Macaca fascicularis: one gene and its partners. The protein of the gene in region 4 binds, or shares a complex with, the protein of the main gene of each other region. Links are inferred from orthologs where the notes say so. Each region holds a gene or a part of one and is shown on either strand. Other genes may lie near its edges. The genes, in order: ARPP19, IER5, RBL1, PPP2R2A and PABIR1.

What was found.
Region 1: the proteins of PPP2R2A (region 4) and ARPP19 are in contact, whole or in part, in a cryo-EM structure (PDB 8TTB), measured with the Homo sapiens proteins. The link is inferred for Macaca fascicularis from reciprocal best matches to the Homo sapiens genes PPP2R2A and ARPP19. Residues at the interface, in NP_002708.1 of Homo sapiens: Lys18, Gly19, Ala20, Asp23, Asp24, Asp29, Ile31, Thr45, Asp47, Gly49, Arg51, Val53, Phe55, Val73, Thr76, Gln78, Glu81, Pro82, Glu83, Phe84, Leu87, Lys88, Ser89, Glu91, Glu93, Tyr178, His179, Asp197, Leu198, Asn221; in NP_001293124.1 of Homo sapiens: Lys42, Pro43, Gly44, Ser46, Phe48, Leu49, Arg50, Arg52, Leu53, Lys55, Lys58, Tyr59, Phe60, Asp61, Lys75, Pro93, Asp97, Leu98, Pro99, Pro103, Leu105, Val106, Ala107, Ser108, Lys109, Leu110, Ala111.
Region 2: the proteins of PPP2R2A (region 4) and IER5 are in contact, whole or in part, in a cryo-EM structure (PDB 8UO5), measured with the Homo sapiens proteins. The link is inferred for Macaca fascicularis from reciprocal best matches to the Homo sapiens genes PPP2R2A and IER5. Residues at the interface, in NP_002708.1 of Homo sapiens: Glu91, Ile92, Glu93, Glu94, Asp116, Tyr178, His179, Asp197, Leu198, Met222, Leu225, Thr226, Glu227, Val228, Thr230, Ser247, Phe280, Phe281, Glu283, Ile284, Ser287, Cys334, Tyr337, Glu338, Asn339, Asp340, Phe343, Lys345; in NP_057629.2 of Homo sapiens: Ala7, Arg9, Ile10, Ile13, Ser14, Lys17, Arg25, Gly26, Lys29, Leu30, His31, Lys32, Leu34, Leu35, Val36, Leu38, Val39, Leu40, Arg41.
Region 3: the proteins of PPP2R2A (region 4) and RBL1 are in contact, whole or in part, in a cryo-EM structure (PDB 9C6B), measured with the Homo sapiens proteins. The link is inferred for Macaca fascicularis from reciprocal best matches to the Homo sapiens genes PPP2R2A and RBL1. Residues at the interface, in NP_002708.1 of Homo sapiens: Lys88, Tyr178, His179, Asp197, Leu198, Met222, Glu223, Glu224, Leu225, Thr226, Glu227, Val228, Ser247, Arg278, Ser279, Phe280, Phe281, Ser282, Glu283, Ile284, Ser287, Tyr337, Phe343; in NP_002886.2 of Homo sapiens: Ser615, Pro616, Leu617, Met618, His619, Pro620, Arg621, Val622, Val625, Arg626, Ser629, Leu632.
Region 5: the proteins of PPP2R2A (region 4) and PABIR1 are in contact, whole or in part, in a cryo-EM structure (PDB 8SO0), measured with the Homo sapiens proteins. The link is inferred for Macaca fascicularis from reciprocal best matches to the Homo sapiens genes PPP2R2A and PABIR1. Residues at the interface, in NP_002708.1 of Homo sapiens: Phe84, Leu87, Lys88, Ser89, Leu90, Tyr178, His179, Asp197, Met222, Glu223, Leu225, Thr226, Glu227, Val228, Tyr337, Asp340, Phe343; in NP_612206.5 of Homo sapiens: His81, Ser82, Ser83, Arg84, Leu85, Ile88, Lys89, Glu92, Arg99, Glu100, His103.

The regions. Positions count from the first base shown.
Region 1 is NC_088381.1:29,018,972-29,024,807, forward strand, and holds the start of ARPP19 (cAMP-regulated phosphoprotein 19), read right to left. Parts: upstream 3,904-5,836; 5' UTR 3,892-3,903; coding exon of another isoform or gene 3,847-3,891; 5' UTR 3,358-3,846; coding exon 3,223-3,357; intron 1-3,222. UniProt on the Homo sapiens protein: Protein phosphatase inhibitor that specifically inhibits protein phosphatase 2A (PP2A) during mitosis. Inhibition of PP2A is enhanced when ARPP19 is phosphorylated.
Region 2 is NC_088375.1:38,575,807-38,581,524, reverse strand, and holds IER5 (immediate early response gene 5 protein), read right to left. Parts: upstream 3,526-5,718; 5' UTR 3,320-3,525; coding exon 2,336-3,319; 3' UTR 1,384-2,335; downstream 1-1,383. UniProt on the Homo sapiens protein: Plays a role as a transcription factor. Mediates positive transcriptional regulation of several chaperone genes during the heat shock response in a HSF1-dependent manner. Mediates negative transcriptional regulation of CDC25B expression.
Region 3 is NC_088384.1:93,122,755-93,128,074, forward strand, and holds part of RBL1 (retinoblastoma-like protein 1), read right to left. Parts: intron 3,021-5,320; coding exon 2,872-3,020; intron 1-2,871. UniProt on the Homo sapiens protein: Key regulator of entry into cell division. Directly involved in heterochromatin formation by maintaining overall chromatin structure and, in particular, that of constitutive heterochromatin by stabilizing histone methylation.
Region 4 is NC_088382.1:29,540,929-29,546,248, reverse strand, and holds part of PPP2R2A (serine/threonine-protein phosphatase 2A 55 kDa regulatory subunit B alpha isoform), read right to left. Parts: intron 1,972-5,320; coding exon 1,806-1,971; intron 1-1,805. UniProt on the Homo sapiens protein: Substrate-recognition subunit of protein phosphatase 2A (PP2A) that plays a key role in cell cycle by controlling mitosis entry and exit. Involved in chromosome clustering during late mitosis by mediating dephosphorylation of MKI67.
Region 5 is NC_088389.1:99,501,810-99,507,811, reverse strand, and holds PABIR1 (PPP2R1A-PPP2R2A-interacting phosphatase regulator 1), read right to left. Parts: upstream 3,572-6,002; 5' UTR 3,472-3,571; coding exon 2,608-3,471; 3' UTR 1,025-2,607; downstream 1-1,024. UniProt on the Homo sapiens protein: Acts as an inhibitor of serine/threonine-protein phosphatase 2A (PP2A) activity. Inhibits PP2A activity by blocking the substrate binding site on PPP2R2A and the active site of PPP2CA.

The DNA of each region.
Region 1 (5,836 bases), on a different chromosome or scaffold from region 4:
CAAGCGATCTTCCCACCTTGGCCTCCCAAAGTGCTGGGACTACAGGCATGAGCCACCTTGCAGGGCCAGAATTATCTGTTTTAAGTTCCCACTTGCCTCTTCTCCCCTCCAGGACTAGTACACATGCCTTAGCTTACTGTTGACAGATTCATGAGCTCTGTGCTCAAAACTTCTAAATGTCTGTTTTCACTTCAGTGGTTATCTTAAACACAAATATAAGCATATTCTGCGGCATCTGAATCACCATGTTGCATCTAAATAGTGCTATGTGGGTTCTGCATCTGAGCTTTCTTGCACCAAGACTCAGTAGGTTACTCCAACTGTCCAAGAAAATGAGACAAGAATAGAGCTGAACTTAAAATGTGATTGTATCTATGACTCTGGAAACTCAGTGACCTCATAGCTTACTCTTAAAGGGGGAACTGAGCCACAACATGGCCTAGGGGAGTGTTTACTTGACAAACTCAAAAAATCCCTTAACTTTTAACAATTGCTGTCATATTCCAAATACATTGGAAATTTAATTTCAGCAAAATACCAAGCACACAATCAAAAATTTAGACTGGCTTTGCTTGTATTTAATCTGTTTTAAATTTTATTTTATTTTTTTGAGACAGAGTTTCACTCTGTCGCCCAGGCTGGAGTGCAGTGGCACAATCTCCACTCACTGCAACCTCCACCTTCCAGGTTCAAGCCATTCTCCTGCCTCAGCCTCCAGAGTAGCTGGAACTACAGGTGTGCGCCACCACACCTGGATAATTTTTGTATTTTTTAGTAGAGATGGGGTTTTACCATATTGGCCAGGCTGTTCTTGAACTCCTGACCTCATGATCCGCCAGCCTCGGCCTCCCAAAGTGCTGGGATTACAGGTGTGAGTCACCGTGCCCGGCCAAATTTTATTTTATTTATTTATTTATTGACACAGAATCTTGTTCCGTTGCACAGGCTGGAGTACAGTGGTATGATCTCAACTCACTTCAACCTCTGCCTCCTGGGTTCAAGCAATTCTTGTGCCTCAGTCTTCTGAGTAGCTGGGATTACAGGTGTGGGCCACAGCACAGGCCTTTTAAATTTTTAAAAAATATTTTTAAAGCAGCTCACTGTAGCCTCGAACTCCTGGTCTCAAGTGATCCTTGCACCTCAGCCTCCCCAGCAGCTGGGACTACAGGCATGCCACCACACCTGGCTAATTTTTATTTTTATTTTTAATTCAATTTAATTAAATTTTTTTTTTTTTTTGAGACAGAGTCTCGCTCTGTCGCCCAGGCTGGAGTGCAGTGGCGCGATCTCGGCTCACTGCAAACTCCGCTACCCGGGTTCACGCCATTCTCCTGCCTCAGCCTCCCGAGTAGCTGGGATTACAGGCGCCCGCCACCACGACCAGCTAATTTTTGTATTTTTAATAGAGACGGGGTTTCACCGTGTTGGCCAGGATGGTCTCAATCTCCTGACCTTGTAATCCACCCCTCTCGGCCTCCCAAAGTGTTGGGATTACAGGCGTGAGCCACCGGGCCGGTCCTATTTTTATTTTTTATAGAGACAGAATCTTACTCTGTTGACCAGGCTGGTCTCAAACTCCTGGCATCAAGCAATCCTCCTGCCTCAGCCTCCGAAAGTGCCAGAATTATAGGCAAGAGCCACCACGCCTGGCTGTTTTAGTTTTAGAGTGGTACACAAGTTAAGAGATAAGAGTTTATACTTATTTTTTATGTTTGTACATATTTAATTGTATCCTAACACAAGATAGGAATCTATCTGGTTTTCTTCTCTTACCAAGGGAGCACACACCACTCAAGATAGAGAAAGTGACTTAGCTTTTACTCCACGCAAGGCCCAGCTATCTACCTTAATTCTTTAGAGGCAATAGGCAATAGGCAACCTACCAGTAAACTATAAAGGTATTTTTAGCTGAATACTTTGGCTTTAAGTGGAAGGTCAATTGGGTACACAGACAATAACTCAATTTTTTAGGTCATCGAACTGATCTTCCAAATAGAAGAAACAGGTGATTTGGCCCACAGGAACACAGAAGTGACTGTGCACATTTTCTTCATGGTTAGGGACACTATCCATGCCACAGGCACTTAGCATTTACAGTCAATCCTGAATTTAAGAAGGAACATTATATTCCTAACACACTGGTTGATTTTAATGACAGCAGCTAAAACCAAAGCACCTTAAATAAATGTTTAATGTAGACAATCAATAAGAGAAAACGTTCAAGCTACCCTTAGTACTGTTAAAAGATACATTAGGCTTTTCCAAGTAAAAGTATTTACACTCTAGAAATCAACACTGCATACTTTGGCAACACACTAACAGAACTTATCAAAGAAAATTACACAGCACACTACTGTGCACCAGAAGTTAATGCTAAGTTTGATGTCAGTGTTTAAGGCAAAACACCACAGAGAGGGACTTATTTTTTAGGGTTCCTAAATTTCAAGCAATAATGAACACAACAAGTATTTTTACAATAAGCAGGTGATACTTGATACTCCTTTTAAGATTGCAATCTTTAACATTTGTATTTTTTGCCCCCAAATTCATTTTTTTGGTAATGTGTAAAAATATCTATTTTCACTGGATATTCTCAAATCATGTGGTAACTTGGACTTTTACCTATGCTATATGTTATTTTCTCGCTTTTCAATTACTTTAACATCCTAACAGAAGCCCCCAACTCAAGAGAAGTTAACACAATTTTAAGAACATATGGAATGGCCTTAGAACACTAATCCAATTCCCAACTTAATTAGGACATAAGCGCAACATTAAGTAGAAACCCGCACGAAGGTCAAGCAGTAGACCAAAATCGTATTTAACGACAACACAACCTGATTTGTAAGAAAAATTGTTGATAAACAATTTAGGAAACAGGATACCTCGGCCCTTTCTCACTTCTCGGCCAGTCACACCTACCTAGGAGAGCAGGGCGGTGGAAATAATTACAATGGGAGAGACAAACACTAGCCTAGATAAATAGAAAGTCTTGATATTCATCATTTGAACCACACTGACACTCCTGGCCTATTCCCCTACATCAGGAAGACACAAGTGCGTTTAAAAAATATTCCTATGTTTCCAATAAAACCCTGATTAATTTCGTGAGTAAAATTTTAAATTTCCACCCTTTCGATTTTTAGTCGAGTACCATATCTGAGTTCCATTGACTGCAACCTTTTCCAGCACAGACTGCGCTGAACACTGCAGGTGACTCACCTCCTCTAGGCCTCGCCCCGCCGTGGGAGGCAAGCACCAGGATTCCGCCTTTACAGGTGAAGGCACTGAAGGCGGACTGTACCCACTGACCATGGTTACAAGGGTTGGTCCTGAAATACCAAGCCCGGCGCACATCGCGGCCCGCACACGAGGCTGCCTTTAGCGTAAACCGCACGCTTACAATACAAGTAGTTGGAGAGTTCTTCAGAGAAAAAAATCAAACTTCCTAAGCAAACTGACGCTCACAAAAAAACTTTAGGCTCTACGCCCAGACTGCGTCCTGGGCGCTCGCGTAAATGTAAGTGACTGAGGAACACCGCGACCCACGGAGGTGTTAGAAAAGGCACGATTCGGCGACAGAGCCAGACTCCGTCTCAAAAAAAAAAAAGAAAAGGCACGATTCGGAGTAAACGCGGGGCACGCTGGAACTCCCAGTTCGTCGGCGCACCAGCCAGCCAGTGACTGCGGGAAGCCAAAGGTGGGGCGCAGGAGCCTCGGCCTCTTGCGCCTCGGCCCCGCATGCAGGGCGCGCCCCTCCGCCCGGCAGGAGCAGGCCGCCCGCCAGACCCGGACCCGGCCAGGGCCCAGGGCCCACGCCCCACGCCCCACGCCCCGCGCACTCACCTTCTGCTCCTCCGCGGAGGCTGCCTCGGGGACTTCCGCAGACATAGTGCTCCCTCTGCAGACGAGACGCCGGGAAAAGATGCGATTAGCCGGTGGCCGAGGCCACCCGGCAGCCTGCCGCCTCAGGCCCGCCCGCCGCCCGGCCCAGCTCTCCCAGCGCCCGCCGGGCCGCCTCCGCCCGCAAAAATGGCCGCCGCCTTATGACGACACGGAGCCGCGAAGCGCTCCGCTGGCCAAGGCCCTCGCACGCCGGAGCCCGCCTGCCCCTCCAGCACCGCGCCCATACCTACTTGACCCCGCTTCTCCCGCTCGCTGTCGTTCAAACACTTCCTTTTTTCCTTCAAAGGTCGCTGCTCCCGCCTCACCTCACATCCGTCTGTGGCTCCCTAATGCTTCCTGGGAATTGTAGTTTCTAAGTGGAACCGCCTCTCCCCGCCCTTTCCTGCTCACTCTGGCCCCCTCGTTCTAGGAGCTTTTTATTTTACTCTTTTTACTTAACCAGCCTCGCCTAGTTCCGTTCTCCTCGCTCTCCGCTCTGTAGCCACACAGGCTGTCTTTTGCGCACGCCAAAGCTCCTTCCTCCATTCTGCCACGCCTTCACATCTCCAGTCCTACGTCTCCGCCTCAGAACCTTTCCTTCCTAAACCTCTACACTAGGCCACCTCTTAAAGGCCGTCACAGCTCTGTACAGTTCCTCAACAACACGAACTGTATCATTAGACAATTGTCGTGACTTTAGGTCACCTTTCCTGCTCAGATAAGCCACACCAGGGCAGGGATCTCGTCTGTAATTACTTATATTTTACTCTGAGGGTCCAGCACTTCCTAGATACCTAACGAAGGAATTCAGATTCATTTGTCCCCTCCCAGGGGGTCCACTCCCACAAGCTTACCGAAACTGCTAGCATTGAGCTCCCCCAATGACTCTTTCATTTGCCAAGTCCTGCGGCTTCATATTGAATCCTCATTCTACTTGATATCTGAATTTACTGGCAATGTTTGCCGGTTCCAACAAAATGTCCTTCAGAAACTTGGAAATAAAATTGCCCTCAAAGAGTTACACTAGTAAAAAACCACAGAAAATGAATGCAATTTGGATAATAAGTTTGGAAACCATCGAAACTCAACCAGGATGTAGAATCTCAGACAGGAAGAATTGCACTAGAATTGCAACTAGAAAAACAAAAAGAGTTAATATTGCACTCCTTTTGGAGAAACGAAGGAAGGTGTTTGTCAGCCAAGGAAGTATTGAAAGTAAAATGGTTCAACAGGCCAACTGTTTGACAAAGATACCCCTTACGAATGTCTCACGCTGGGCTAGCTGAGAAACTATAAGATCAACGACATATTTGTTCTCATTCTATACTCACAAAGTAATATACTGAAAATTTGCCTTTCCCTTAAGCAGAACTGCAGAGAGAAAGAAGAATGCACTAGTTAGGCCAACTGGAGCATTTAACAATTGTATTTTTATTAATAAATTGACTGGCATTCTAGTATATGTCCTATATCAATGTATTTGTGAACTTAGGTTAAAATCTGATAGACATACACTTATGATGAAATGCAGCCTCAAGAAAATTGCTGTGGCCAGGCACAGTGGCTCACTCGTAATCCCAGCAGTTTGGGAGGCCAAGGTGGGCAAATCACTTGAGCTCAGGAGTTCAAGACCAGCCTGGCCAACATGGCGAATCTCTGTCTCTACAAAAAGAAAAAAAAAAAGGTTTTTTTTTTCTTTTTCTTTTTCAGACAGATCACCCAGGCTGGAGTGCAATGGTGCAATCTCGGCTCACTGCAACCTCTGCCTCCTGGGTTCGAGCAATTCTGCCTCAGCCTCCCAAGTAGCTGGGATTACAGTTGCCTACTATCACACCCAGATAATTTTTTGTATTTTTAGTAGAGACAGGGTTTCACCGTGTTGTTCAGGCTGGTCTCGAACTCCTGGCCTCAAGTGATCCACCCGCCTTGGCCTCCCAAAGTGCTGGGATTA
Region 2 (5,718 bases), on a different chromosome or scaffold from region 4:
TTAAACACACCAAATGTTACCCCCTTTCAAACATAAAATACACTGAGATCGCTGTTCAAGCATCATACTTTCTAGCAACCGTAAATGTTTGCAGAATTAAGGCCCTGGACACCTTCTTCAGTTTAAGCAGTCAGCACTTGATGGATCTTTTGTAGCTGTAACAGAATTTAAGTAGCTACTGTCTGAAAGAAAAAGTCAATTTAACAAGACCCTAATTTGAGAATGTTTAGTTCTATAAATACATTATAATGGCGAGAGAGCGTAAAGTAGAAAGTTCCCTATGCTTAAGGAACCACTAATAGATTTGCTGAAATATCAAGTCACGAGGCACTGGCCTATTCAGCTAAAACAGAATTTCATATAATTGGGAGTTAAGGCCAAGACACCATTCATATGCCTCTTATACTCGAAGGCTATGACCTTTAAACCTTTGTCTCTTTCTTCAATCTCTCCCATCTTTTAAACACCCTACATACTCATAAGTTGTTAGAAACCAGCACCACCTTTTAAAGTCCTGGCAACTGTACTGTATTTTAAACACCATTCCCTAATTGATTTGCTTCTGAAATAGATTATTGAATACCTTTCAAACACTGAACATGAAGAGACAAACAGCTCTTAATGGCAGTGATTTTAGTAAAATCGATGCATGTTTTGGCTATCATCATCTAAGTGTCTACCATGACCAAACACTGATGTCACCATTTGAGTAACAAAACAAAGCAGGAAGTTTTGCTAAATGAGAATTAAAGTTGCCCAGCCCTCCTTCCTTATCTGGTTTGATGCAAGCAATTTCCCTCTCACCAATACATTTACTTTCTAGATATAAGAGAAAAATGGAAAATTTACATCCTGACATCCACTGTAATGCAGAGGTGGACCTGACAATTTGGACAAGTCAGTCTCTTTCATCTTCCTATGTCAGTTCGAATGGGTTTTTAAGGTAAACTATCTAAACTTTTTTTTTCAATTACAAAGCTAAAAGATGACCCATATTAACAGCTTAACAGGAAACAAAGTTTTGCTGAAAAACATTTTTGCAGATAAGCAGGGCTTCAAAAGCTGATGGTTAAATTACTTAATAATATACACCCACATATTGGGTGACAAATTGGTCTAAACCGACCTTAGAAAAGCCAGTTGTAGCGGTAGGTTTCAAGAACCTGGCAGGTCGCTGATATTAGTATCTAATAGCATTCCTCTGATCTAGGAGGAAAAATTAAACGTGTCTCTCTTGATACTTAGTGGAGTCAGTAAACAATGTTCTCAGTCTGCGAATGACTGATATTAAGAACCACACCTTCAATTTTCTAGCCCAGGCCCTGGTTTCCCTCTTCCCACTTCCCTCCCAACCCAGGCAGGTTATTGCAGACAAGCAGGCAGTTACGTTGCTTCAAAATATTTAATACGTGTTAGACACGTAGAAGTTACATTTTTATACAAAAATCAATACAACGAAGGAGAAAATACTGTACAAAAACCTTATCAGCTCCCCCAACCTTTATATAACAAAGACTGGAGTCACCATATCTACAAAACCATAAGGTCTTTCCACTTCGGGCTTCTGTCTGTAAACTTTCATTAAACACTTTTTAAAAGCACTGTGTAGTAGTTCTGACCTAGAGCTTTTAAAAATATATCTTTTCTCTATAAACTCCATTATTTCCAAGCTTGAACTCTTCTGTGAAGTTCAAGCTTTTTCTCCCCTGCGGGGAAGCAAAGGACGGTTAATATGCCCCTTTCCTAGAGTAATCACAGGATATAAACGTTTCTTCATTGGGAGAGAAAGGTGGGGAGGGACAGAAGGAATCCAAGTCTGTGCTGCTGGCTAAATCCCTCTCGTCTTAGGAAATCCTGTGCGGAAACGCCACTCCTGGCCCTGAAGCGGGTCTAGCTTTCCGGTGAGGGGTGGGTGTAAAGTCCCTCCCTCCCCGGAGAACGAATGGGGAACTCCCCGGCCCAAACCTTTTAGCCGCTTCCTTCTCCACGCAGCCGGCAGAGGAAAGTCCCTGTCTGCCCCCAATCTCTTAAGCCCTGGGGAAGGAGTGGTGCATTCCAGAACAAAATAGTCTTAATGCCACAAGACAAACTTACATACACAGACATACACAAACACAAAAAGTTAAAGATCGTCCTCTTCCAATGAGCCTCAAGCTCCCAGGTCTCCAGAAAAGCCAGATGCGCCCGGGGGCAGTTTGCGATGCCCAGCGGCAACCAGTCTGCCCAACGCGCTCAGCGGCCGCGGTCTCTGGGCGTCCTCGCAGCCGGCAAGGGCCCGACCCTCACTTCGAGGACGCCCGCTGCTCAACCTCCTCCCCGCATGGGGGCCAAGGGCTCAGAAGGCCACGATGGCTGTGCTCCAGGGGTTCATGTCTCTCAGCACCGGCTTATCGCAGCAGATCTGCCCGGGCTCGGCGGCTTCCGGGCCGCTCTCCTCTCCCTCCTCTTCCTCCCTGCCGCCCCCGGGGCTTTTCCGTAGGAGTCCCGAGAAACTGGAACCGAAGATGCTGATGAGGTTAGCCACGTTCCCGGTCTCCATCTCCTCCGCGTCGTCGTCCTCTCCTCCACTCGGCGGCTGCTCTAAGTTCCGGCGGGGCTTCTTGAGCGGGGTCGAGCCGGGCGCCGGGCAGCCCGCTGGGCCGCCGCCCACCCCCGCCGCGCCGCGCTTCCTGGGGCACACTGCGGGCGGCGCGGGGGGCTCGTCCTCGGCTGGTCGCGGCGCGCAGCAGCAGGCAGTGCGGGGGGTCGCGGCCGGTGTACCCGGCGGGTCCTCCCCGCCTAGGGGGCAGCCGCAGGGGCGGCGCGCGGCAAGCGATCCCTCGGGGAAGACGCCCCAGCCTCCGGCGGGACCCTCGGCTTCTCCGGCCGCCGCCTGGCGCGGCCGCTCCACGCGGCTCCAGGCAGCTTCCGTCGCGTCCGCCTCTCCGCCCTGAAGAACGTCCCCGACTCCGGTCACCGTGGTCACTGGCACCTCGTCCCCTACCCGCGGCGCGTGTGAGACGGAAGGGCGCTCCGGTTGCGGCTCGGTCTCCGGCCAAGAGGCACGGGCGACGGGCGGGGGCGGCTCTCCCCAGCCGGCGGGTGGCCCGGCCGCCGGCTCCCCAGGCTGCTGCTGCGGTGGCGGCGCCGGGAGCCCAGCGGGACCGGCCAGGTAGAGGCCGGGGCACGGGTCGCTCAGGTAGACCTGGCGGGCGCTGCGCAGCACCAGCGAGACCAGGAGGTTCTTATGCAGCTTGATGCCGCCGCGCTGGACCCGCGAGTTGTAGATCTTGCCCAGGGAGATGCTGACGATTCGGTGAGCCTCCAGCTTGAACTCCATCCTGCCTCCCCTGCACAGGGCCGTCGGCGCCGGGGTGTTACGTTCGGAAACTGGGAGGGAACGGGAGGCGCAAACAAGTCCGCCCCGTGGGCACACCCTTGATCACCTAAGACTCCGAAGAGAAATGACTCCGGTGACGCGCGCTCACTGCCCCGCAGACCTCTCTACACCAGACAACTACCCCGTTTCGGGTCCGGTAGCTAAACAGGGCAGCCCGGCCGCCCCGCGCCTTATATAGACTCCTCGACCGCCAATCACGAAGGGCCGCCAACCGTTCCGGGGCTGGCCGGCGCGCCCTCGTGCGCCGCGCACGGCCAATCGGAGCCCGAGGAGGGGCGCCAAGGCCCGTTCGAACGTTAGTCCCGCGGAGCAAGCTCTTAAAGGGGGCGACGGATTGCGGGCGGAGACCAGGCCGATGGGGAGTGAGTGTTGGGGACCGTGCTGGGGACCGTGCTCGGGACCGTGCTCGAGGGCGCTACTGTTTGGAGTTACAGATTCTGGCTTGTGCGATGGCTTGCCGGAACCAAAGCGAACAAAATATTCGAACTTTCTTCCGAGCACGGTGTTGGACTCTGTTCTGCCATAAAGTCCTGATCTTTTCCTGATCAACTCCGCCCTAACCGGCCACGCCACCATTTCCAGGCCCGCCACACCTGTAAGCGATTCCCCTCAACCCTGGCAAAAATAGAGATGGTGGCTATACGCGGCGGAGGACACCCCTGGATAACAAATAGTATTACTGCAAAGTATTTGGCTGTCATTATTTTTGGATGAGCCGCTTTCCCCGCTAGAGTCACATACACTCTTAGCAGCTGTCAGTTCTAACACCAAAGAAAAAGGGGATTCTAAAAGTTTTTGGCTAGGTTCTTGGCTTCTTATCAAGGAATTGTGTCTAGATACAAAGTTACTGGTTGCCCTCTAAAGCCGGCATCTTTCACTTTGTTCTCTAGATTCTGGAACAAAGCCAGTTATCAAATAGGTTAAATGGAAGATGTTACAGGTTCTCCACAATGATTTTTTTCCCATTTCCATTTTTCCATTACAAGGACTGATCAGTCAACCCTTGGAAAAATCGAGCAAGGTCTGAAAATAAAAAGAAAGAAGTCCTGTGTTCCCATGATGATGTCATAATTTCATTTTGTGTCAAGGTAAAAATACAGCGCTAGGGAGTTCCAGAATTTTCTGGTCAGTCAACAATGTAGTCCATCTACTGGTCCTTATATCAGGGCACAATTACCACAGGGTTGCCCAGGGTCCTGGACTGGAAACATGGAGTCACTTCCAGTTAGTTCCACCGAAGCTCCACCACAGACCTGCCTGAGGACTCTGGGTAAATAACCTCAGACCGCTTCAGTGTCTCCACCGCTGAAAAGGGGAAGTCACATACACATCTGCTTTATTGTACAGACGATAAATGACAACTTCTCAGCCACAAACTGAATGAGAAAACTAAGCACTGCTTTCTTGGAGTCCATGTGGAACCCTGGGCCTGATCCTGCCCCAGGGATTGGCCAAGCAATGAATTTATTTAGGAAAAATACCAGTGAAGGGTGGGCTTGATCATGACCAATTGACAATCTCCAGAAGATGTGATGGCTCAGTAGCATTACCTGTGCCCACAACTGATGGTAACTGAGACTGCAGGCTCTGAGACCCAGTTCCTCCCCCCTCTAGGAATTTTCAGCCCATGCAGAGAAAGAGATAAAATAATGACACAAAAATTACAAAACCAAGTAGCATATATTAAGTAATAATGCAAGAATTTTTCTCTTGTCTTTTTCTTTGCAAGTTGTTAGTCACTATAAAGCAATGGCTAAGAGCACAGGCTGTGGAGGCCGGCTTCCTGGCTTGGAATCCCAGCTTCTCCGTTCACTTGCTGCATGGCCTCTGGAAAATTATTTCACTTCTCTGTGCTGCTGTCTTTTTTATTACAAAATAATCAGCTGGGTGTGGTGACTCACTCCTGTAATCCTAGCACTTTGGAAGGCCAAGGCAGGTGGATCACTTGAGGTCAGGAGTTCAAGACCAGCCTGGCCAATATGGTGAAACCCTGTCTCTACTAAAAAAAAATACAGTAATTAGCCTCACATGGTGGCAGGTACCTGTAATCCCAGCTACCCGGGAGGCTGAGGCAGGAGAATGGCTTGAACCCAGGAGACAGAGGATGCAGTGAGCTGAGATCACGCCATTGTACTCCAGCCTGGGCAACAGAGTGAGATTCGGTCTCAAAAAGTAGAATAAAAAAACATAAAAATAAATATAATAATAATAGTGCCTACCTCTTAAGAGTTTTTGTGAGGATAGAACAAGGTAGCACATGCAAAGCTCACAGAACAGCACCTGGCATACAATAAGCTATCAATGTAGGCTAGTTCTCAGAACACATTACCCCACATACT
Region 3 (5,320 bases), on a different chromosome or scaffold from region 4:
AATTGCCTGAAGCCGGGAGGTGGAGGTTGCAGTGAGCCAAGACTGTGGCCACTGTACTCCAGCCTGGGCAACAGAGCGAGACTCCTTCTCCAAAAAAAAAAAAAAAAAAAAAAAGTAGGGACAAAGAATAACCAATCTTCTAACACTTGCTATAACAATCTCTCTCTACACACACACAAAATCTCTCTCTACCCCACAACCAAAGCAGTAGCAGAGAGAATAAAAGAGGCAGAGAATTCTATAAGCCAGCAGAATGATTCTGACATGGAAAAAAATCTGTTAATGAAATGGGAAACACTTCATATGGAAATGGAAAATATTTAGAAATAAGTTGGATGAGCAAGGATTTCATTTTCTTTAATATCCTGTATAATGGAAATAAATTAAGATGGTAGAGATATTCAGAGTATATAGACAGAGGGGAAGTGAAACTGGAGTAGGATGAACAGTTATGACCTCTGAGGATAGTCATAGACCATATTCCATGAAAAGAGGAAGAACAGAAATGTACAGATGCACACAGATACATAGAAACAGCTATTGGCTGGCTGGCTGCAGCTTCTGCTAGGGCCTTCTTTTCTTTTCTTTTTTTGAGGCAGGGTCTTGCTCTGTTGCCCAGACTGGAGTGCAGTGATGCGACTGTGGTTCATTGCAGCCTTGACCTCCTGGGCCCAAGCGATCCTCCTACCTTAGCTTGCTGAGTAGTTGGGACCACTACTTGGGTGTATACCAGCCACTACATGGCTAATTTGTAGAGTTTTTTTTTTTTTTTAAAGAGACAGGGCCTTCTTATTTTTCCAGGCTGGTCTCAAATTCCTGGGCTCAAGCAATCCTCCAGGCTTAGCTTCCCAAAGTGCTGGGATTACAGGCTTGGGAAGTGCCTGGCTGGTCTCTTTTTCTTAGAGCTAAAGTCTGGTCTTCTGGGAAGCAACCTCAGCTTACACACTGGTAACACTTTCTCAGGCCTGCTGCGACTGCCAAAACTGGGGTCTGCATAATTTTTTTTTTTTTTTGAGACGGAGTCTCGCTCTGTTGCTTGGGCTGGAGTGCAGTGGCATGATCTTGGCTCACCGCAAGCTCCACCTCCCCGGTTCACGCCATTCTCCTGCCTCAGCCTCCCTAGAAGCTGGGACTACAGGCGCCCGCCACTATGCCTGGCTAATTTTTTTTTTTGTCTTTTCAGTAGAGACAGGGTTTCACTGTGTTAGCCAGGATGGTCTCAATCTCCTGACCTCGTGATCCGCCTGCCTTGGCCTCCCAGAGTGCTGGGATCACAACCGTGAGCCACCACGCCTGGCCTGCATAAAAATTTCTTAGTGGTGCCTCTATTAATGATCCAGGCCTATCTACTTCCTTTTGCCTTTTTTTTTTTGAGACGGAGTCTTGCTCTGTTGTCCAGGCTGGTGTGCAATGGTGCAATCTTGGCTCACTGCAACTCTGCCTCTCGGATTCAAGTGATTCTCCTGTCTTAGCCTCTCACGTAGCTGGGATTACGGGTGCCTACCACCATGCCCGGCTAATTTTTGTATTTTTAGTAGAGATGGGGTTTCACCATGTTGACCAGGCTGGTCTTGAACTCCTGACCTCACGTGATCCACCTGCCTCGGCCTCCCAAAGCACTGGGATTACAGGCATGAGCCACAGCGCCTGACCTCCTTTTGTCTTTTTTTTTTTTTTTTGAGATGGAGTTTCCTTCTTGTCACCCAGGCTGGAGTGCAGTGGCACAATTTCTGCTCACTACAACCTCTGCTTCCTGGGTTCAAGTGATTCTCCTGCCTCAGCCTCCCGAGTAGCTGGGATTACAGGTGCCTGCCACCACGCCACCTAATTTTTGGTAGAGATGGGATTTCACCATGTTGGCCAGGCTGGTCTTGAACTCCTGTCCTCTGGTGATCCACCCACCTCGGTCTCCCAAAGTGCTGGGATTACAGGCATGAGCCACCACACCTGGCCCCTTCTGTCTTTAACTTGAGAAAAACATTAATCTCACAATGTAACAACAGAAAAATTTACCAAATTTGCTGGGCGCAGTGGCTCATGCCTATAATCCCAGCACTCTGGGAGGCTGAGGTGGGCGGATCACGAGGTCAGGAGTTCAAGACCAGCCTGACCAACATGGTGAAACCCTGTCTCTACTAAAGATACAAAAAATTAGCCAGGTGTAGTGACATGCTCCTGTAATACCAGCTACTGGGGAGGCTGAGGCAGGAGAATCACTTGAACCTGGGAGGCGGAGGTTGCAGTTGAGCTGAGATCATGCCATTGCACTCCAGCCTGGGTGACGGGGTGAGACTCTGTCTCAAAATAAATAAATAAATAAATACAAACAAATTAATTGTTTTAATATTCATGTTCCCATCAAGTTCTTACCCATATGTACACGGAATTTCTAGTAACATAATCATGGTATAGATAAAATTTCTGCCAGGCGTGGTGTTTCACACCTGTAATCCCATCACTTTGGGAGTCTGAGGTGGGTAGATTGCTTAAGTCCAGGAGTTCCAGACCAGCCTGGCCAACATGGTGAAACCCTGTATCTACTAAAAATACAAAAAAATTAGCCAGGCGTGGTGGTGGCACGCAGCTGTCCTACCAGCTACTTGGGAGGCTGGGGTGGGAGCATCGCTTGAGCCCTGGAAGCAAAGGTTGCAGTGAGCCAGGATCTCACCACTGCACTGTAGCCAGGGCAACAGATTCCATGATTTCCTCTGGTCTCTGTTGTACCATAGCCTTAATCACCGATTAAGTTACTAGTCATGCTCTGATTAATTGCTAGTAATTTTACTTTGACATACTTATCTAGCAAAATAAACTTACAGTAATTCAACTATGACAGCGAATAATAATAAAGTAGTAAAACATAAAACATACCACATGGTCCTGATTTGACAAGTCGTATTTCAGTGCAAATGACTTCACTCTTCCTACATATATTGTATTGTAAAATTTTATAAGATCACCTCTTTCCTCTTTCACTGGTCCACTGGAACAGTCAGGTGTTTTTGTAGCATCTTCCAAGTCTGTTAAAAAGAATGCAATGTTGTGATACAAAGCATACTTTTTATTTTATTTTTTTTGAGACAGGGTCTCACTTTGTCACCCAGGGTGGAGTGCAGTGGTGCAATGTTGGCTCACTGCAACCCCAACCTCCTGGATTCAAGTGATCCTCCCACCTCAGCCTCCTGAGTAGCTGGGACTACAGGCACGCACCACCATGCCTGGCTATTTTTTATTTTTAGTAGAGACGGCGTTTATTTTTAGTAGAGACGGCAATATTTCCATGTTGCCCAGGATGGTTTCCAACTCCTGGGCTCAAGTGATCTGCCAGCCTCAGCCTCTCAAAGTGCAGGGATTACAGGCGTGAGCCACCATGCCCAGCCACAAAGCATACTTTAATATACAAGTCAGCAATTTAAATTACCTTTCTACAATATTAAAAAAAACTCACAAGTCTTTACATAGAGAAATTAATATTTTCAGAGAAGGTTCAGAAATCCATCTGTATTACTTATAAGTCAAATTGGAATCTAGAGAAATGCAAACATATCAATTGAAGGTGGTGCTCTCTTCTCTAGATGCCACTTCAGAATGTTTTCACAACCATAGCTTTTGAGCTGACTGTCATTAGTGGCTTTTAGAGGGGCAACAGCCCTGAGCTGGTGTTATCTAAGTTCTACAGTATGGGAGGCAGTGGCAAACCTCAGCTTCATAAAACTAAAAGGCCTGCAGATATTCTTCTTGTGTCTTTGAGAAAGGTGGAAAGATTCTAAAAGGTAAAGCATATCCTGAGAGGTTAGGGAAGAAGCAAAATGAATTACATTTATTTCTCTGCAAATACATGGCAGGTGACAGGTGTTCTAAGAGCCTTATTGTACCACGTACAACAGGAACTCTGATCAGGAACCAGTGTTCAGGTTTTACTGAGCACCCCCAATAGTAAAATAACAGCTTGCCCCAACGTAGTTTCCTACTTAATGGTGCAACTCTGGGATAGCTTGTGAAACTAGGCAGAAATTTGTCCTACTATTTTTTGGGGAAGGAAAAGTATTATAGAGTATTACAAACTATCATTTGCTTGTATATACAAGAACCATGTGTTTAGAAGAGTTAAGAAAACCACTACCAATTAAAAATAATTTAGCATTTATTTGAAAAAAGTTCTCATTCTCAATTCACTGGCCTACAAACATTGAGAACATGGGTAGAAGCAATGCCTTCACCTTAGGAAAACCAGAAAACACAAACATGGTTCAAAGACCAAACGGCCCCGGGGGATCTCAGTCTTAATTTGGATGTCTCTTTCACTTCTGCTATTTCTAAAGGATCTTGACTAGGGTGGGAGGGGAGGGGAGCTATGTGGTTAAATAAAGTTGAGGAAATGCTGTACATTATATTAGAAATTCAGAAATGCATGTTAGTATAAGGCTCTGAGAAGTACTGCAGTTTGGGAAAAAAAAAAAAACTCTCATGTTCACTTTAATTCCATACTTCCCCAATTTTTTTTTTTTTTTTTTTTTTTGAGACGGAGTCTCGCTCTGTCGCCCAGGCTGGAGTGCAGTGGCCGGATCTCAGCTCACTGCAAGCTCCGCCTCCCGGGTTTATGCCATTCTCCTGCCTCAGCCTCCCGAGTAGCTGGGACTACAGGCGCCCACCACCTCGCCCGGCTAGTTTTTTGTATTTTTTAGTAGAGACGGGGTTTCACCATATTAGCCAGGATGGTCTCGATCTCCTGACCTCGTGATCCGCCCGTCTCGGCCTCCCAAAGTGCTGGGATTACAGGCGTAAACCACTGCACCTGGATCCCCCAAAACACTTATACTACCATTCTGGGAAACACTGTTCCAAAGGATACTGGTATGTTAACAGCTCTTCTAGGTTATTCTCATTATATGGATCAATTAAAATTATTTCTTTTTGTTTTGTTTTTATGACAGGTTCTTGATCCTCTTGCCTCAGCCTCCCGAGTAGCTGGGACTACAGGTGAATGCTGCCACACCAGGCTAATTTTTTTTTACTTTTTGTAGAGACAGGGTCTCCTTATGTTTTCTAGGCTGGTCTCTAACTCCTGGGCTCAAGTGATCCTCCCACTTCGGTCTCCCAAAGTGCTGGGATTACAGATGTGAGCGACCACGCCTGGCCTAAAATTATTTAATGTCCTCCTTGTATTAGAAATTTATTGAGACAGAGACTATAGTGTCTCCATGTTTCTGTGTCATTCCAATTCCAGCTGTTAATATTTATGTAAGGTAAGGAGCTATACTTTACTTGAATGAACCAAACATTTAAAATTGTGGGAGGCTGGATGTGGTGAAACCCTGTC
Region 4 (5,320 bases):
GTCCTCTTTATAAAAAAGCTGACATAGCCCTGTAAGAAATAAACTGCCATGAAACATTCCAATATATAAAATGTTAACAACACACTTCCCTAGGAACATTTATTCTATAAGTAGAAATTATATAAATGGTTTAGTTATGTATCATCTGATGTCAAAGAACAAAATATCTGAAGCTATTTGAAGTAACTTAGTTTACCATATAAATTAAAACTGACCCCAGACTAGAAGCTAGCACATGATAGGAGTAAACTGTTCCCTCCACCCATGCTGCTGAGTTACAGGCTTTAAATAGTTACTTCTGTTTATTGTTCTTCTAATAAGGACAAGAGAGGGGAATGCAGTTTATTGTGGAAAGAGAGAAGGCAGAGGGTACGAATCCCAATGGACTGGCTGGGGAGAGCTTTCATGATCAGAAAACTGGGCATCTAAAAGGCGGCCAACACTGATGGCATCAGACATTTGTGAACAGCATTTTTAAGAACTCATACTGTGGACCAAGGGCATCAATTAGATGGAGGAAGTGCTGAATTTCTTCCCCTATTTCATCCCCAAAGTCATTTAAGTTTATATTCTGCAAATGGTTATGGTCTAGGTGTTAAAATTTGCTTTTTAAATTAATAGTGAGGGAATGAGAAAATAGGAGGAGGTTTCCCCTCACCCTAGCACCAACCTCAAAAAAGTTTTAATCACACATTTTTATAGACTACAGCTACCAAGAAACTAAAGTATCTCCTCAGTCACTCTAATGATTCCCTTCAGACTCAAGACTCCAACGAAGTCCAAACAATTCACGGGAAAAGTTTTTTATAAGAACAAAGAAAAAGAACCCAACTTATCATAAAGGATTTCAAATTCTGGTAGAGTCATTACTAACTTTTAATCCTCACTTAACTTTTCTTGGGCCAGGCATGGTGGCTCACACCTGTAATCCCAGTACTTTGGGAGACTGAGGAGGGGGACAGACTGCTTGAGCCCAGGAGTTCAAGACCAGCCTGGGCAACATCGGGAGACCCAATCTCTACAAAAAATGTTTTAAAAAAATTAGCCTGATGTGGTGGCATGCACCTGTGGGTCCCAGCTACTCAGGAGACTGAGGTGGGGAGATCGAGGTTGCAGTGAGCTGTGATTACACCACTGCACTCCAGCCTAGGCGACAGACATTGTCTCAAAAAACAACAAAAACCTCTCCCTGGGCAAGTAAAACAGTAGGAGAGGAATCTCCTTCCAGCGATGTGGATTGCTGGGAAGAAGGCAATATGCTAATAGGTAGTCAAGTAAGAAGAGTGCTCTGAATGAAGACCATCCTTTGAGTATTATTTTGTATCTGCAGTTAGAAATACTCTGTGTAGAGTTCAGGAACACTTAAAAAGGAGGAATAAATTAACATTTATTGAGCACTTGCACTCATGACATATGTGAAGAGTTACTTAATATTCATAATACTATAATAAAAAATTACTCTCTCTACTTCGCTGCTGAGGAAAATTCAATTCAGTGTTAGTAACCTGCCCAAGATTAGGAGACTGAGAAATAGCAGAAATAGTACCTGACCTAAATCCAATGGTATAGCAGCCCATTCTTTTCGCTACAAATTGGGGGTGTAGTAAACAAAAAATTGCTATCTGAGAATCTTTCAGAGAATCTAAAAACTGCAAGTGAACAGTAAAAAAGTAGAGTTTATATTCTGTATAGAAAAAAAGTCCTTTTTAAAATTATCTCTGTTAAATGATTCCTCTCCTAGTCTACAGGATTATGTGCAACAAGTACACACAGTGGGCACATGGAAAGAAAATACATATACTTACCATTGGTAGACAATAAAAACTGAGCAGCATTTTTCTGGGGTAACCACCTAATTTTGTTGATCTTTTCTTCTATTTCTAAACTTTTCAAGTAGTCAAACTCTGGTTCATGGCTCTGGAAGGTGCTGTAAACATTATATTCTCCTCTGCTATGAGACTGGATTTTGTTCTAAAATGAAAACAAAAATATATGGACCATTGTTGAAAAATATTTCAAAATAATCAAATATGTAATCAATTCCAAAGGACCCTGCAAATTCTCGATAGCCCATTAGCTGTGTCTTTATACAATTATATTCTATTTTTTATATTTCTAAAGGCCTTCAAGGATTAAATGAGAAAACTTAAAGGGGAAAAAAGGCTAAATAACACTGAATAAATAAGCTCATTCATTAGGGAAATAATGATGTTAAATATGGATCAATCTGATTGCTTTGATGGTATAGAGGCATACCAATGAAAAAAACTGAGCACCCATAATAAGGGAGTTCATCTAAAGAGTAATGACTAAAGAAAGGCTTGCCCAGAAAGAGCTAGATGAAGCACACCTTCTTTCTCTGCCCACTTTAGGGTCAACTCCCCAATCTGTTACTTAATATGATGTACTGTCTCCTTTTCCTTTCTGATGCCTGCCTTTTGGTTATTTCGCTGCTGAAAGCTTAAAAAAAGGGCTCTTATAAATGAAGGGATCCCATTTGACCCCTGCCTCCCACCCCAAGACTGCTGTTCCAGACAGCTTTGTCACCAATCAAGTCCATATTCAGCACCACCCAGCAATAGCCCCATGCACCCCATCAACTACTACTTACTCGCCTTTAATTTGCTTTCTCATCTTATGAACCTGGCACACACTGATGATTAATTTCATTTAGTATTACTTTGAAAGAACATAATTTAAGCTATCTCGTAAAGGGACTACTTATGAACTACTTTGGTTAGCATTAATATCTCAGCAAAAGTGAGAATTATAATATTCAGAATTTCATCTTTTATCACACGATTAAAAACATTTTCATAAAAAAATTTAAAACTAGTTCAGAGAACCACCTATGGAAAAAGTTTAAATAAAAGAATGAGATTATTATTGTCAACTATTTTAAGTAAAAGTGAGTTATCCAGTGAAATGTTTACGACTTCTTAGCCTATTACTATTCTCCATATCAAAAGGAAACTTCACCGAATCATCTTGAAAGTCTACGTTTTGGGTTGTTTTTTCCAGCAGCCTGACGATCTGGGTTGTTCATTCATGGATGGTTGTATTTAAACCTTTGGACAGCAGTATCAGTTATTAGAGGGCAAGTCTGCCAGTGTTAAGAATGCAGTGTCCCACAAAACGATCCACATACTGGGGACACACAAGGGGTAAAAATCAGACTCAGAGCCTTGGTCTCATCACCATACCCACACACCAAATTAGACAGCCTATTCCATTAACATATATAAATACTCCAGTGTCACCTGAAAGCTCCACATATCTTCTACCTAAAATGACTCACCCAGTCTCACAAAGTTTATCATTACACTCTACAAGGAAAACACAATACCATTAAGCAGGCAACTCGATTTTTAATATAAACCCTGCGTTTTAGACTGGTTTTTCATCTAACACTTAAAGAGACTATAGTATATAGCACCTTGTACACTAGGGCGTAGAGGGATAGACAGAATCCCCACATTCAAGTGACCTGTGTACGTCAAACTTCAGTCAAAGTAGAAACTGGTTATGGTCTACACAATTAAGGTAAGCAGTATGAAGGGCCAAGGGCAAGCCACACATTGTATTTGATGAGTTAAGAAAAGCACAAAACTACAGAAATATTTTCTGAAACAGAACATGAACATCTTCCTGTAGACTCATGGACAACAACATGAGTCTACTAAACATGATCTCTTACAGAATCCAAAAACAAAATCATAGAGATATATGGCAGTTTCAATAGACTGCAAGAAGTTCCATCTCTTTGCAACAGGAAATAAATATATGTATCATAAAAGGAGAAAATTCTGTCTAAAAAGCTCAAGATGCCAGGCTAAGCACATGCACTAGCCTCCCCTCTCCTCTGAAACTTTACTAAAATTATCATAACAGAACTTTTAAAAACAAGTCCACAGGACAAAGAGTAATGGCAGAAATGACAGCAGCAGTAACAAAACAGAAGAGGCTATAAAACATGGGTACAAGTGGTAACTGACAGTAGACTGCAGAAAGCTGCAACAGATTTTCCCTAACACTTTGGGAGGGGATGTTTAGATTATAATGACCATGATAGCATTGTTCCCCGCACGAACAAAGGACAGTGAGCAAGCCTGAAATAAAAGAAACATAACCAGATACTCAACACTGAGCCACTCAAATGAGAATGCATCAAAATCAAACAACGTTTTTGTTTTAAAAACCTCTCCTACAGTCATACAGAATTGTGACACATCCTTCAACAATGTATACTGGCTTTACCTGCACAGCATTTTCACCTCCCTCTCTTTTCTTGCTTGCCTTTATGATCACTATGAGAATCATCTTCCTAACCATACAATCTATTTGCATGAAAGTTTCTACGGTAAGTTTAGATGTGCTTTATTCCCCAGCACCTATAACAGTACCTGGCACATGTAACAGGCATTCAATAAAGATTTTCAAAGCAGGACTTAGAATGAGGTATGTCACATACTTTACATACATTACAAGCACAGGACACAAAACCAGTATCACACATTTTCAACACAGATGCAAAGAGAATTCACTAAAGGGCATCATAACCAAGTTTTAAAGCAAAGTCATAAAGACTGTGTACTGGCACGAGGATAGACCAATGTGCCAATGAAACAGAACAGATGGCCCAGAAACAGGCCTAAATGATGACAAAGGTTGCCTTGCTGGGCAATGGGGAAAGGATGGTCTTTTCACTAAATGGTGTTGACTAGTGAATAGGTTGACTATTCATAGGAAATAAAATGAAGCTCGACCCCTTCCCTAAACCACTCACATAAAGTGATTACAGATGAATAAGAGATATAAATGTGAAGGTACAATAATCAAGTCCTAGGATAACACAACCCAAGAGAACTTTTCTGCAATGATAGAAATCGTCTGTATCTGTGTTGTCCAGTATGGTTTTGCCACTAGTCAAGTTGAGCACTAGGCACACACTGAGCACTGAAAATGTGGCTACTGCAACTAAGGAAGTTAATTCTACAATTTATTTTTAACAATTTAAATGTATTTATTTATTTATAAGGTGGTAAGGCTGACTTTATTTAAAGAGGGCCATGGAGACAGGGACCACTGCAACAGGGTCTTGCAGCGGGGGAGAGAGAACAGACTCAATTCCCCATTAATTTAAATAGCCACATGGATCTAGTGGCTACAGTACGAATCATCCAGTTCTAAAACGTAATGGGAACAATTTCCCGGACCTTGGAGTTGAAAAGTATTTCTTATACAGGACAGAAAAACCAGTAACCCTAAGAAAAATACTGATCAACTGTATTATATTAATAATCTCTATTTATAAAAATAT
Region 5 (6,002 bases), on a different chromosome or scaffold from region 4:
AAGAGAGGTATCAAGGACATGTTGGTTTCCTGCATTTATATACATATATACATGGAAATGCCAGTAACACATCTTGTACAATATATACCAAGTTGTTAACAGAAGTTACCTGTTGAAAGGGAAGATGACTTTTACATAGTTAAAAGCAGACTTTTAAAACCACATACATATGTACACTGTTTAAATATTTTATAATCAGCAGGTATACATTGCCTTCTACTTAAACTCACGTGCAATTTGCCTCCCTGAAAAGGATAGGAATGGCATTTTAGGGAGAAGGAACAATCTATCCCAAAGCACAGATACATGAAAGTATGACATATTTAAAGAATATCAAGTGGTCTAATGTTTGTAGAATAAGAAAGACAGACATATACGGGAACAGAGATGAGGAGAGGATTGAAGCTATTGCAGAATATGGCCAGATCATAAAGAACCTTCTATCTGAGGCTAAAGAAATCATTCCTTAAAGAGTAGGAAATGGGGAAGCAAATGAAGTTTTCAAGCAAGAGGGTGAAAAATATCAAGTTTAAATTTTAGAAAGATTTCTCAAGAGGCAGTATAAAGACTGAACCAAAAGGAGACAGAAAACAGCCTGGGAGATCACTCAGGCAAAAACTTAAGGCAAAATCAGGGGCAACAGATAGAGAAGGGAAGAAATTTGAGATTCATTTCAGAAGTTGACAGGACTTGGTGATTAAGCTAATCCAACAGAGAAAAGGAAAAGTCAAAGATGCTTCCATGATTTCTAGTTTAGGAAATTAGTGATGACATCAATTGAGATAATGCAAGAATAGGTGAAGTGAGAAGATTAACAATTTCTGTGTTGAAGATAATGAAGTTTAAATACCTCTGGAGGCAGGGCAAGTTACCCAACAAGAAGTCAGACTATTTAAGTTTGAATTTGAAGAACAAGGTTGAGAATGGGAGCACATGAACACTATTACTCAGAAGAGAGAATTTTAAACCTGTGGACACAGTCTTACCCTCAATGCAATTTCACTCCATCTTGAGGCAACCATCAAGAGTTGACCAGTTCCATTTATTTTCATAGTCGTAAAAATTCCACAAAATTGTTAGTCTCTGTAAGTGATAACTTTAAAAAGTCAGAGCTTTTGTCTTGTTCTGAGTCATTTTTCCCCTTTCCTCTTTGTATGCCATTCTTTCTGTCAAACTATCTAGTTAAGGAAGCTATATGAGGTATAAGGAAGAATATTAAGAAAATTTTGTTATTCTTATTGTCTTAATTGTAAAGGCAAAGAAAAGAACATTCGACTATTCTACCTTTAGCAAAACCTAAGTTAAATAATGATTTACCTATGTGACTCTCCACTAATTTTCTCTTGCAAATCATCACCCCTTAATTAATGGACATCCCCAAGGCAGTCAACTCAAGCTGTAGCTTTAACCACAGAGGTTAAACAATTCAGTCCTGTTGTTGCTGTCAGAAATCCAAGTTACACTGTACCTTTGTCTAATCAATGGTGCCCTACTTTGGTGGGAGATGAAGGAAGGGACCTGTTGGCAAGGAAACAGCTGCTTCCTTCCTGAACAAGGGAAAACCAGTAAGGTGACAGATGGGCAGAGCAGAAAAGTAGCCAAAAATTGCTCTGGCTCCTGGTTGGCAATAATTTTTGGAACTGAGGCACAACTGAATATTTTAAAGTATATCAACAATTGAGAGAGAGTATTGTTTACCTGGGCGCGCCAAAGTTCAACAAGCCTTCCCACACATTTTCTACATTTGAAAAACTTTTACGTTTGCAGTAGTACAAAGAGCTTAGCCTTAGCCTATGTACAGTGGGCAAAGACTGCAAGGCACTGTCCCATTTCACTTTAGGATTGCACCCAAGCAAATGCACTTTCTGGTTAAAAAAAAAAAAAAAAAAGGAAAATTTTTATTTTCTCTATAATATAGTTGTATGACTGACTAGAATTACTATTAAAATCTCATTAAAAATGTTTTCCTTAAAAGTTTACTTTTATATACTTAATTTGAAAGGATTTGTTGCAAACTTTTATAATTTGTTCTCTAATCATTCCCCCTCCCACCCACTTCGGTACCCAGAAAACTAAATATCCAAGAATTCCTGGGTAAAACAGACAACCACTAGATTGATATAACTAACGTATTTTTTTTTTAAGCTGTATAGTTCTTCATCAAATGGAAATCGGCAAACCACTGAAAATAACATTAAAAATTAGTGTGGGCATGAAGTATGGAATTTTAAACATCAGTTTACTATGCTGATTAAGTCAACATTTATATTTTCATCAGAACTTAATAATCCCATAAATAAATAGAGCTCTCAATTATTTAAAAAAATCAAGGGATAACATATGTATTTAGACATAGTAGCAGCGTAAAGATGTATGCTTCAACACACTTATTGGGGAAACGTCTGAAAATATTACTACACTGAATTCAAAGGTATCCGCAGGAACCTGACATAGAAGTTCTCTAGAATAACATCATTTCAGGAAATTTCAAAAAAGAAAAGGGGTCGAATAGGAAATAGCCTCAAATTAATTGACAAAGTTCAGTGTTTGCCCCAACTTGATTATTCTCTCTCTCCACTGCAAAAAGAAAGTCTCAGGATGAGTGAATCACTTAGACGAAAGTTCATCTAGTGGAATAAATGGAGAAGCCGCTTGGGCAGGTGACACAGGAGAGTCGGTGGTAGTGCTGACTTTCGCTGGTGAGTTACAAGAAGATCCGGCACTGCTGCTGTTTCCATCAAGGGTATCCGAAGATACACACACACCAGGATCTGACAGCTGTGCAACGTCAGAAGAAAGCATGTTGGTGATGCCCTGGAAAAATCTCTTTGGCTGATAATCAGTTTCCATTTCACATTTTCTTTTCAATGGTCCAAGAACACTTGGTCTAATGCAATTGATGGGGCTCTGGCTTCTCCGGGTGGTAAATCGGGTCGTTGGGCTGGGAATAGGGCTTGGAGGCAATCCGTTGCTACTTACAAAACTTTGCAAGGATGGCGAAAAACACTGCTTCCCAATTCCCCGAGTGGGTGACGGTGCCGGTGACACAGGAATGAAATCGATGCGCTTGGGGGAGGCGGATTTCTCCACGTCGTTGTCACTCAGGCTGAAACTTTCCTCCCAGGAGTGGCTTATCTGCATTGCGGTCTGCACCTCCCGTTCGTGGACCGTCTCTCGGTTGATCAAGTCCATACCCTCTTCTTGTTTGATCTGGTGCAAGCGGCTGCTGTGCATGCGGACAGGGGAGGCCGGTAGCAGCAGGCCGTGGCGGCTCGGGAACGTTGTGCTGTTCCGCCTGGCGCTCGGCGCCTCGGCCTGGAACACCGGCGAAGTGTCACTGAGGCCGTGGATCAGGGGGGCGCTGTTAGACCTCCTGAGGCCCCCGCCGCCGCCGCTGCCGCCGCCCTCCGCCGGGCTCCCGCCCGTACCCGGAGGCAGCTCCAGGTCTAGCTCCATCTTCTCCTGAGCCATGTCGGGGGCAGGGAGGCGGGGGAGGTGCTCAGTCAGGGACCTAGGATTCCCATTCCCCGCAGTCCAGGGCCGCCGCCGCTGCCGCCGCCACCGAGAATCTGTCAGCGGGCTGGCCCCTCTGCGCATGCGTACCCCTTCGCGCAGGCGCTCGCGATGTCCGTCCTCGAGGCGCCTGCTTTATGCGTAATATCTGCGCGGCAGTGGTAGGGGAGGGGCGAGGAGTGGTCGGGCCGCTAGTCCGTATATTCCTTCAGCAAATAGCTATTGAGCGCAAACTGGCATTGACGAACGTCAATAAGATTGTCATATTCTGGAGTACATATTTATAAAACGAACAAAGCCCTGAAAGAGAGGCCCATGGTGATGTGGGGCTGTATGACGGGGAGTGGCGCTTGCGAATCAGGGAGGGCTTCCTCGAGGAAGGAACAGTGTCCTGAAATCCGAAGAAGTGGGCGAAATGGGTGCGATGTAAAACTTCGCAGGAAGCGGGAAGCAAGGGCGACCCAGCCAGGTGGCAGGCGGGAACCAGGAGGGGAGGAGAAAGTGTGGCCTGGAGTGGAGAGTGAGGGCTGGCGTGACGTGAGGTGGTGGACCAGACCACATTCTGGTCTTTATCTTGAGAACAATGAAAACTTAAAGGGTTTTCAAGCATGGGTATAATAGCAACTGAAAAGCTCACTGGCCTGCAGTCTGGAGAACAAATACTGGGAGATTAAAACCTTACAGAAAAAAGGCCAGAGAGGATGGTAATTTGCACTAAGGTGACTGTGGAAGTGGAGATGGAGAGAAAAGTAAATGAGAACTGTTTAGGTTAGGGGAAAAAGCCAAAACCGGGGATGGTACTGATACTGATTTACAGTCATAGTTCCAGCACAAGCATATGTGTGAAGTATGAAGGATTAAAGGAAAACCAGTAGGTCCTCACATTTTAAAAATAAAAACACTATTCTTGGCTCATGTAATTAATATGAAACCTTGATAGCTCATTAAAAGTGAATTTATTTGTTCATTTATTCAGTCAAGGTTTTTTTTTTTTTTTCCAGCATACTTACTATGTGCCAAACACTGCTAGGAAATGGGCCCTAGTCTGAGAACTTTTAATTCTTACTGAGGGGAAAATACAGAAATAAACGCAGGCTATTTTCAGATAGTGGTAAAGCCTTAGGAAAAACAAGATGGTGTGATGGAGCACTACTGATAGAAGGCAGCGGACAATTAGAGCTGAGATCTAAATGACAAGCAGCAGCAAGTCACGTGGACATCTGGGGAATGAGTATTCCAAGCAGAGAGAATAGCAAGTGCTAAGGCCCGAGGCAGCCATGAGTTTGTTGAGTAAGCGGAAAAAGAAAGAAGGGCAGTGCTGCTGAAGCATAAGAGCGGCGAGTGTTAGCAGAGGGTAAGAGTTGGATCTCATTCTGAGTATGATGAAAAGCCACTGGAGGGTTTTAAGCAGGGGAATGATATTATCTGGTTTATGTTTTAAATATCACTTAGGCTCTGTGGAAAACAGGCTGAAAGAGGACCACAGTGGAGGCAGAAGGATGAATTCAGGGCCTATGGCAACAATACAGATAAGATTCTTGGACTAGGGTTGTAGCAGTGTCAATGGGGAGAAGTAGAGAGACTGAGGCTATGTGTTGAGTTAGAACCAATAGGATTTGCAGATGGATTAAATTTAGATTGTGAAAGAAATAGATTATTCAAAGGGGACTCATAGCTTGTTTTATTTAAACTGGTGAGATGGTAGTATTATTTACTGAGAGAGGAAAAGAGCACATTTAGAGCTGTAGAAATTAAGAGATCTGAAGCAGAAGAACAGAAGGTAGAAAGAACCAACATTTTCTAAGTGCCTACTCCCTGCTAGGTACTTTAAACACTCCATAATCCCACTTAATCCTCACTGCGTAGATATTGTTATGCTCATTTTGTGAAGGAATGATTGAAGTTCAAAAACTGCAAAAGGTACTACAGTCAGTACACGGAAGAACAAAGATCTGAACCAATTTGAATCAAGGACTCATTTTGAAAACCTGTATTGTTTTCTCTGAATTTCACATGGATTAAAGAAAGAGAATTTCACATGAATTAGAGAAGGATGGCTAATTCTGCGATGAAAGAAAGGTCTAAAACCAAAGTTGGGAAAGGCAGAAGAAGGAGATAGATTTGGGAGACCGGGCAACAACAGAACCTAACAGCGTGGATGTGCAGAGGATGAACAGGAGACACAAATGACTGAAGTTCAACTGTAAGTGGCTGAAAGCATGCTACAAATTATTCAATGAAAACAGGAGAGAGGAGGAAATGTCTACAAAAAAATTAATATTAGGTAAGTACAAAAGAACATTAAATATAGAACTCACTTTATAATACCCACAGCATATTACTGTTAACTTGCATATTACTAAATTATTACCAATGTGGCTCAAATGTGCCAGATATTGTTCATCCATGTCTGGATAAACATAATAATTACCTTTACTAATAAAACACAAGGATGGTGATGAGCCCACAAAATGAAACATCTATGCTAT